Linked DNA regions of Ovis aries. The protein of the gene in region 1 interacts with the protein of each later gene in a pairwise test. Links are inferred from orthologs where the notes say so. Each region holds a gene or a part of one and is shown on either strand. Other genes may lie near its edges.

Region 1 (4,263 bases):
TTGGGGGTGGGGTGATGCCCTTCCCACCACATACACAGTGGGATGTGACAAGAACAATTCATCTGATTAACACACCCTGAGCTCAGGGGCTATTAGATACCCTTTTGCCTGGCCCCTCCTCTTTTTCTGATTTCTCTTCTCTTTGACTTCATCCCTTCCCTTGCTTCCTTCCAGCCACCTCTTTTCCTCATCTTCTCTCTTTTTTTCTTTCCTTTGCTCCCTCTTTCCTTTTCCTATTCTTGCTCTCCCTTTTCCCACTTTTTTTGGCATAACTGGGAAACCAAGATGAATTTAATTTATTGTATCTTTTGAAAATTGTTAAGTTTGTCTTCATGTAGAAACATTAGAAAAGTACAGATGAAGGAGAAAGACTGTAATCCTCTCACCCAGAGATAATCACAAATATTTCAGTTCACATTTATTCATATTTTCTGTGTAAAAATATCTATATTTTTATTTTAAATGCTATATTATACATAATACTTTCTAATCTTCTTTTTTGGCTATGCAATATGTAAAAATCTATAAAATTTTTAGTTGCCTAGTACTATATTGTATGAGTGCACCATAATATATTTTCACCAACTTTAACCACTGGACATTTTTTGCTATGACAACCCCATAAAGTACATGCTTGTATGTATTTTTTTTCATACTTGTCTAATTATTTCTTTAGACTAAATGCCTGGAAAAGGAATGAATGGCCAAAGGGTAGTCACACATTTTTAAAGCTTTCTATCGCCAAATTGCCCTTCAAAATGGCTGTACCAATTAACTCTCCCTTGTGCAGGGTATCCTGGAGAAGGAAATGGCAACCCACTCCAGTATTCTTGCTTCGAAAATCCCATGGACGGAGGAGCCTGGTGGGTCGCCTGGGGCCGCAAAGAGTCGGACATGACTGAGCGACTTCACTTTCGTGCAGGGCATGAGGCTGCCCATTGTCCCAGTCATTATAAGCACTACCATTACCGCTACTTTCAGTCTTTGTTGTATCTTTTGAAAATAGATTCATTTGCTTTGCTTGTTTGTAATTTTAAAAGCAGATAATCTGGCTGTTGTATATTTTGATTTCTTAAAAATACAAAAATAGGTTGGTTTCTACTAGTGTGTGGCTCTTGGTAGTTTTCTTTTCTTTGGGTCAGGGCTCCTGATAAGATTCTTGACCCCTATTCCATTTTTTCCCCAACCCCTGTTGTAAATCTTTCCTTCCCTCAGTCTCTGTCACTATCCTTGGAAAGATATCTTTCTGTACCCTATCCCACACTCCACTAGTGCACGAAGTAGCTTTCTATTTGTCCCAATAATCTTAGGTACTAGCTGTAATGCATAAGTTCAATTATTATTGTTCCATTTCTCTAATATTCCCATGATGATCATCATCATCCACATCTATAATTTAAATTTCCACAGGGATTTCTCATACATCACCTCCTTAAAACCATCCTGTGAGTTAAGTTGGGCATATGAGTCTAGGCTTTAGTCATGTCTGAGTTAAAATCCTGGGCTGTCATTTAGCTACTCTGAGCTCATTTTCTCTACCTATAAAACAGAGATAATAACTGTAGAGCTCTTCTGCAGTCCTATTATTGACAGGTGAAATAACTGAGGCTCAGACAACACAAGGGATTTCTACAAGTCGTATGCAAACCTAGGTTCTGACCCTAGAATTACACAATGAATATCCTGTGCCCATCACCTAGTTTTTTTTTTTTTCATCACCTAGTTTTAAAAAGAATTACAGAAACCAACTGAAGTCTCCTGTGTATCCTTCCCTAATCCCATACTCCTTCCTCCCTCCCTCCTTTCCTTCCTGCCTCTACCTCGGGTAATAACTATTCTAAATTTGATATTTATTGTTCCATGATGTTTCTATACTTCTAACTTTATATATCAATGAGCAAATTTGGTATTGTTCTACATGCTTTTCAACTTTATATACATGGTATGATTGTGCATATCATCCTTCCTTTACTCAACATCTGAGACTCAACCATGCTAATACATGGAGTTCATTATTTTAATCTCAGTTTAATATTCCATGATATGAATATACCATAACTGTTTACCCACTCTCCCATTGATAGGTATTTAAATCATTTCCAGTTTTATGCTATGACAAACACTGACGCCATGGACATTTTATATGTTTCTCCTTATAGACAAGAGCAAGAGTTCCACTAGATTCTTATTTCATAAGATATGAGCAGATTCCACTTTATTGGACAGTGCCCAACAGTTTTCTAAAGTGGCTGTACAAACATATACTCCCACCACAGTACGTAATCAATTGTTTCACATCTGGAGCATTGTTCAACATTTAGTGCTGTCAGACTTAAAAATTTTTGACAGTCTGAGGAGGCAGAAATGTTATCTCATTGTGGCTTTAATTTGCATTTATCTGATTACTAATAAGACTGGACATGTTTTCATACTTCATTGGCCATTCCACTCCACGCTTCTGTGTAGAGCCTATTCATGCATTTTGCACACTTTTATATTGGAATGTTTGTATTTTTATTACTGATTTGTGGGAATTTTTTTAGATACTATGAACACTAAACTTTTGTTACAGGTGTTGCAAATATTTCCTCAGGCTTTTGCTTGTTTCATTATTTATAAAGATTCTTAATGTAAAGAAGTTTTAAATTTTACTGTAGTCAAATGTGTTAATCCTTTTCTTTATGGCTATACTGGTTTGATAATGTTACATTGTTTCTCTATGTCTTCCTCTGAGCTTCTTCTGATGCTGTTAAGATCTCCTTTCCCCCTCAGACCTGACAGGTCACTCTCTTGTTCCTTTGCCTGCAGTGTTTGTCATGTTGACCTGTGCCTTTCGCTATGGCCATGATGACTTGGATGTGATTGGTCTGACATTCCGCAAAGATCTGTACGTACAGGTCCAGCAAGTGGTCCCAGCTGAGCCCAGCAGCCCCCGGGGCCCCCTCACAGTCCTGCAGGAGCGACTGCTGCACAAGCTGGGGGACAATGCCTACCCCTTTACCCTGCAGGTACTGACCCCAAGCCCTAGGTAAGGCTTCTAGGGAAGATTAAGAGAGAAAGCTTAACAAAGAGGATAGAGTAAAGGGGTCCCTATTTCTTCTGTTTGCCGACCTCCTTCTGATCCTTTAGATGGTTGTCAACCTGCCCTGTTCGGTGACACTGCAGCCAGGTCCTGATGATACAGGAAAGGTGAGGTCTGGGTTCTCAAAAAGGTGGACAGAGGGATAAATGGACAAGACTGGAGAAAGGGACAGCTAATGGGTGGGATCAGACATTTCCTTATAAACCCATGAGGAAGGGAGTGGGCAGTGTCAGAAATGAGTTCTCTTTGCCTCTGCCCCTTTGCAGGCCTGCGGTGTTGACTTTGAAGTGAGGAGTTTCTGTGCTGAAAACCTGGAGGAGAAAGTCTCCAAGAGGTGTTTCTGTGGTCAACTTCAAAATCCCTGCCTCTAGCCTGCACCAGGAAACAGATCTTGCTCTCAGGACAGAAACGTCCTTACTTCTAACCTGTGTAGCAGCATCACCACCAGTTCAGATGCCCATTTCTGATTTCCCTCTAATTTCTCTTCTTTGCTCTAGAGCATGGGTCAGCAAATTCTTCTGTCAAAGGCCAGACAAGAAATAATTAGGCTTTGTGAACAATGTACTTCCTGTTGCACCTACTGAACTGTGCCACTGTAGCATGAAAACAGCCATGGGCAGTACGTAAATGAACAAGCATGGCTGCGTTCCAGTACTTTATGAACATTGAAATTTGAATTTTATATAATTTCCACATGTCATGAAATATTGTTCTTTGATTTTTTTCAACCACTTGAAAATGTAATGACCATTTTTAGCTTGCAGGCCACACAGACACAAGCAGCAGACCAGACTTAGCCAGTGAGCCATAGTTTGCTGACCTATGGTCTAGATACCTACCTTGAGGGTCCAGAGGCATTCTCTGAGGGAAACCTTCTACCACCTCCACCACCCAAGCGAGGACTGGGCTATAGGTTTGGCACAAGAAAGGTCTGTGGGTCCTAAGGAGATGTTCTGGCTGTCCCCTTGGCCTCTACTTAGAGACTCTGTGCGGCTGGTGATTCGGAAAATACAGTTTGCTCCCCTGGAACCAGGCCCTGGCCCCTGGGCCCAGACTGTGCGCCGCTTCCTCCTGTCAGCTCAGCCCCTACAACTCCAGGCCTGGATGGACAAGGAGGTTTGTGACCCCCATTTCTCGCCTCCTAGTGTGCAACCGCTCTGAAACCCTTTCTTTATTGATCA
Region 2 (4,706 bases), on another chromosome or scaffold:
GACTAGTTTCAGGAAATTTTGGGGAGGTGGGTTTGGGCACGGGTACGCTTACAGTATATAAGGTTTTCACAAAAACTAGTCGGGGTCCTTGACTAAGGGGAGACTCTGCCTTGGCCCTGCCGGTGTAATAAACTGCACTCCACTCTCTGCGGGCTTCTCTGATAGCTCAGCTGGTAAAGAATCTGCCTGCAATGCGGGAGACCTGGGTTCAATCCCTGGGTTGGGAAGATCCCCTGGAGAAGGGAAAGGCTACCCACTCCAGTATTCTGGCCTGGAGAATTCTATGGACTGTATAGTCTACAGGGTTGCAGAGAGTCGGACACTACTGAACAACTTTAACTCACTCACCACTCTCTGCATTGTCCTTCTGAGTTTGTTTCCCCGGAATGCGGAACAGGTGGCTACAACACGGCCCAGGGCTTAGTTGCCTTGAGGCATGTGGGGTCTTCTCAGATCAGAGATTGAACCAGTGTCCCTTGCATTGCAAGGTGGATTCTTAATCACTAGGGTTAGAAGCCCCATCCTGGCTCTTTCTGAAGCCAGAATAAAGACAGGTAGGGAAGGCTGTTCTTGCCGTCTTGGGGTTCCCTGGGTAGCATCATTTTTCTGGGCACCATCCATCTCAGTGCAGGGTCTTGTCCCAGGAAGAGACCTGCTTTGGGAAGGAAGGGTGGATGTACACTAATCAAGGCAAAAGACCAATTTATGAAATGACAATGAACAACGTGATAGCAAGAGCACTGGACACTCCCAGCCTTGACCCTGGACTTACCACTCTGTGGGCACCTCCGTGGAAAGTAGTTGGTCTTTAGAAGAGCGTGTGGTTGGAGAGGAATTTGAACCAAACTGCATCTGAGGCCTTTAAAAAGGCTTGATGCCTCAGCTACAGGATAGAGGAGCACCTGCCCCCAGCTGGGTGGAATTGAGCCAGAGCCGCTCCTGGACTTGAATGGCCAAGCCAGCATTATCCCCCTTCCTTCCTTCCCTAGCTGAGTAGGCCCTCATTCAGCTGGACAGTCCTTCTTTAGATATGCTAATACCTTTCTCCCGCTCTGCTACGAACGGTTCAGCCCTGGGCGCTCCTCTCTGCGGACTCAAATTCCTTTCCAGCCTGGGGCGGGGGTGGAGTGGGCATTCTCATTGCTGCCCTTCTCCTGCCCCGCTTCCCTGGCCCTCCAGCGACCTGGGTTGAGTGGGCCGGGGCCTTGGGAGGGTCCTTTCCCGCCGAGGGACGGTCCGGAGGGCCGGATCTTCTGGCAGGCAGGTAGGGCCAGTCCAGGATTGCCAGGCCGCGCCCTCCCGGCGGCGCGGGGCCGGGAGCCGGCAGGGGCGTGTCCGCGCGCTCACCTGCCATTGGGCAGGTGGGGCGGCCGGCGCTCTGGCAGGGGCCGCGTTATAAACGCGGAGCCGGAGCCGGGGGCCGCGGCGGCGGGGCCAGGCGCGTCGCAGGATGGTGGACAGCGTGTACCGGACCCGCTCCCTGGGGGTGGCGGCTGAAGGGCTCCCGGACCAGTACGCGGACGGAGAGGCGGCGCGCGTGTGGCAGCTCTACATCGGGGACACCAGCAGCCGCACCGCGGAGTACAAGGCCTGGCTGCTCGGGCTGCTGCGCCAGCACGGCTGCCAGCGGGTGCTCGACGTGGCCTGCGGCACCGGGTGAGCGCGGGAGGGGCCCCGGGGACCGCAGTGAGCGCGAGCGGGGGGCGAGCAGGGGACCCGGGTGAGCGGAAAACCCGGGCACCGAGCGGATGGGGTCGGCTTGGCACGGGCAGCCGGGCTGCGGACCACGGGCGGGCACGTCGGGGCAGCCTCCTCCGCCGACCCGGGAGCCGGGGCTGGGGCGCGACGCCAGGGCGGGGAATGTGTGTTTGCCCAGGCAGAACGGGCAGGACGGGGCCGAGGAGACCCAGGATGAGAGCGAGGGTGTGGGCACAGCGGATGGGGAAGGCGGGTTCGCCAGGGCGGTGGCCCAAGGCCCGGGTTTTGGGACTAGCCTCACATAAGGTCGAACCCCGCTCCAGCGGCAGCGTTCACACTTAACACTTGTTCAACGTGATGTGCCTCTGCCAAAGCATTGTGCCAGGTGTTTCTGACACATCAGTTTTTAAAATCCTTACAAAACCTCATGAGGTAAGTGTGTGTGTGTGTGTGTGTGTTAGTCGCTCAGTCGTGCCCGTCTCTTTGCGACCCCATGAACTGCAGCCCACCAGGCTCCTCTGTCCATGAGATTTTCCAGGCCAAGGACAGGAGTGGGTTGCCATTTCCTTCTCCAGGGAATCTTCCCAGCCCAGGGATTGAACCCAGGTCTCCTGCACTGCAGGCAGATTCTTTACGGGCTGAGCTACAAGAGTAGTGATAGCTATTTACGGTTGCAGAAATTTGGCCTCAGAGAGGTAAAGGTGGAAGGAAGATGTGGACCCAGGTTGGTTAAGGCCTGGCTTGTGCTCTGAACCACCATCTGGCAGTTCCCTGGTGGTCTAATGGTTAGGATTCTGAGGTTTCACTGCCCAGGGCCCTGGGTTCAATAGCTGGTGGGAGAACTGAGATCCTGCAAGCCTCATGGGACTGCCAAAAACAAAAAGAAAAAAACCCACTATGCAACACTACCTCCTGTGCTCAAGTTACTTAGCTTGCAGGAGCTTCAGTTTGCCCCACCTCTCAAATAGGGATACCACCACCTACCTTACTGGATTGCCGTGAGTTTTAACTACTTATTTTGCTGTATGTACCAAGTCTTCATTGTGGGGCACAGACTTCTCTTGCTGCAGTATGTGGGATCTTAGTTTCCCTACCAGGGATCCAACCTGGGCCCCCTGCATTGGGAGTGCAGAGTCTTAGCCACTGAAGCACCAGGGAAGTCCCTGGATTGCCGTAAGGATTAACGCCCATTTGTACAATACCTGACGTGGTGCTGAGAAACAAAAAAGAAAAGTTACCACCGGGTGATAAGAAACAGATTTGCCAGGTCACTTGAGGTCAGCGGAGAGAGCCTGGGGACAGGAAACAGAGGGGTGGACTCTGAAGAGTGGGGGAGACAGGAGTGTTCAGCACAGGGCCTCCTCTTTGCCTCTCCAGGCCTCCCTGACTGCCCCTCTCTGACTGTCATTCCTGGTCCTGCCCAGGGTGGACTCCATCATGCTGGTGGAAGAGGGCTTCAACGTGACAAGCGTGGATGCCAGTGACAAGATGCTAAAGTATGCTCTCAAGGAGCGCTGGAACCGGAGGCACGACCCTGCCTTTGACAAGTGGGGTACGTGGATCCAGCCAGGTGCCCTCACTTCTCTCTACCCTGGGCTCCTTTATCAGTTGTGGTGGGGAGCTGTTTTCCTCAAAGAAGGAAATCACTGTCATTTCCCTGAAAAGGGAGGCTTACACACCAGAAGGAGGTACTGAGAATGAGGAGCTAGTTTTAATTATGTTTATAGTGTCCTGTGAAAGTCACTCAGTCGTGTTTGACTGTTTGCGACCCCATGGACTATACAGTCCATGGAATTCTCCAGGCCAGAATACTGGTGTGGGTAGCCATTCCCTTCTCCAGGGGATCTTCCCAACCCTGGGATCGAACCCAGGTTTTCCACATTGGTGGCAGATTTTTTTTACCGACTGGGCCACCAGGAAGCCCATCTTGGACAGGGGGCTTGTCCTGGACGGTGGGCAGTGTCCTGTGCCCCCCAGTAAAAACCCATAAACACAGAGCCCTCCTTCCCAACCATGGTTTCCTCCTCCCCGGGTCCCTGGTCCCCTTCACCCTCCATGTCCATAATGATGCCCTCCCCTGACTGGATGGGGAGTCCCTATGTGTGTCTTGAAGGGGAAACTGAGGCAGGACTGCCCTTGATGGAGGTGGGTGCCACCCTGATCCCTCTTCCCCTCCCTGGCCCCCAGTCATTGAAGAAGCTAACTGGATGACTCTGGACAAAGACGTGCCCCAACCACCAGGGGGTGGCTTCGATGCTGTCATCTGCCTTGGAAACAGTTTTGCCCACTTGCCAGACTGCAAAGGTGAGAGAGGGTGTGGCCTGGGGAGTGGAACCTGCCTTGAACTATACCCTTTCCAGAGGAAAAAGACGGGACAGAGACTGGTGCTGGGGGCCCTGAGCAGACGCAGTGTCTCTGTCCCCACCTGGTTCAGGAGACCAGAGTGAGCACCGGCTGGCCCTGAGGAACATCGCAAGCATGGTGCGGTCGGGAGGCGTGCTGGTCATTGATCATCGCAACTACGACCACATCCTCCGCACGGGGTGCGCACCCCCAGGAAAAAACATCTACTATAAGGTGGGGCCCCCTGGGGAGGGCAGGCCCAGGGCGGGAGGTGTGGTCCTGGGGTCCTGGCCTCATGGTAGTTGCAGAGGTTGACACAGCTGGCAACCCTGCCTGCAGAGTGACCTGACCAAGGACATCACGACGTCAGTGCTGACCGTGAACAACAAGGCCCACATGGTGACTCTGGATTACACGGTGCAGGTGCCCGGGGCTGGCCAGAGCGGGTCTCCTGGCTTGAGGTACTGACTTGGCGAGCGGGGGTGGGGCTGGGGTGGGCGTGGGGGAGGGTGCCAAGACCACCAGTCCTCACGGCAGGTCTGGGGCTCTGCTGCAGTAAGTTCCGGCTCTCCTACTACCCTCACTGCCTGGCATCCTTCACGGAGTTGCTTCGAACAGCCTTCGGGGGCAAGTGCCAGCACAGCGTCCTGGGCGACTTCAAACCT

Evidence for each region.
Region 2: the proteins of ARR3 (region 1) and GNMT interact in a two-hybrid assay, tested with the Homo sapiens proteins (2 studies listed by BioGRID and IntAct). The two-hybrid records come from large-scale screens. The link is inferred for Ovis aries from reciprocal best matches to the Homo sapiens genes ARR3 and GNMT.

Annotation. Positions count from the first base shown.
Region 1 is NC_056080.1:63,161,671-63,165,933, forward strand, and holds part of ARR3 (arrestin-C), read left to right. Parts: intron 1-2,808; coding exon 2,809-3,008; intron 3,009-3,129; coding exon 3,130-3,189; intron 3,190-3,348; coding exon 3,349-3,416; intron 3,417-4,062; coding exon 4,063-4,198; intron 4,199-4,263. UniProt on the Homo sapiens protein: May play a role in an as yet undefined retina-specific signal transduction. Could bind to photoactivated-phosphorylated red/green opsins.
Region 2 is NC_056073.1:16,602,789-16,607,494, forward strand, and holds the start of GNMT (glycine N-methyltransferase), read left to right. Parts: upstream 1-1,422; 5' UTR 1,423-1,450; coding exon 1,451-1,656; intron 1,657-3,122; coding exon 3,123-3,250; intron 3,251-3,885; coding exon 3,886-4,002; intron 4,003-4,132; coding exon 4,133-4,275; intron 4,276-4,380; coding exon 4,381-4,502; intron 4,503-4,597; coding exon 4,598-4,706. UniProt on the Homo sapiens protein: Catalyzes the methylation of glycine by using S-adenosylmethionine (AdoMet) to form N-methylglycine (sarcosine) with the concomitant production of S-adenosylhomocysteine (AdoHcy), a reaction regulated by the binding of 5-methyltetrahydrofolate.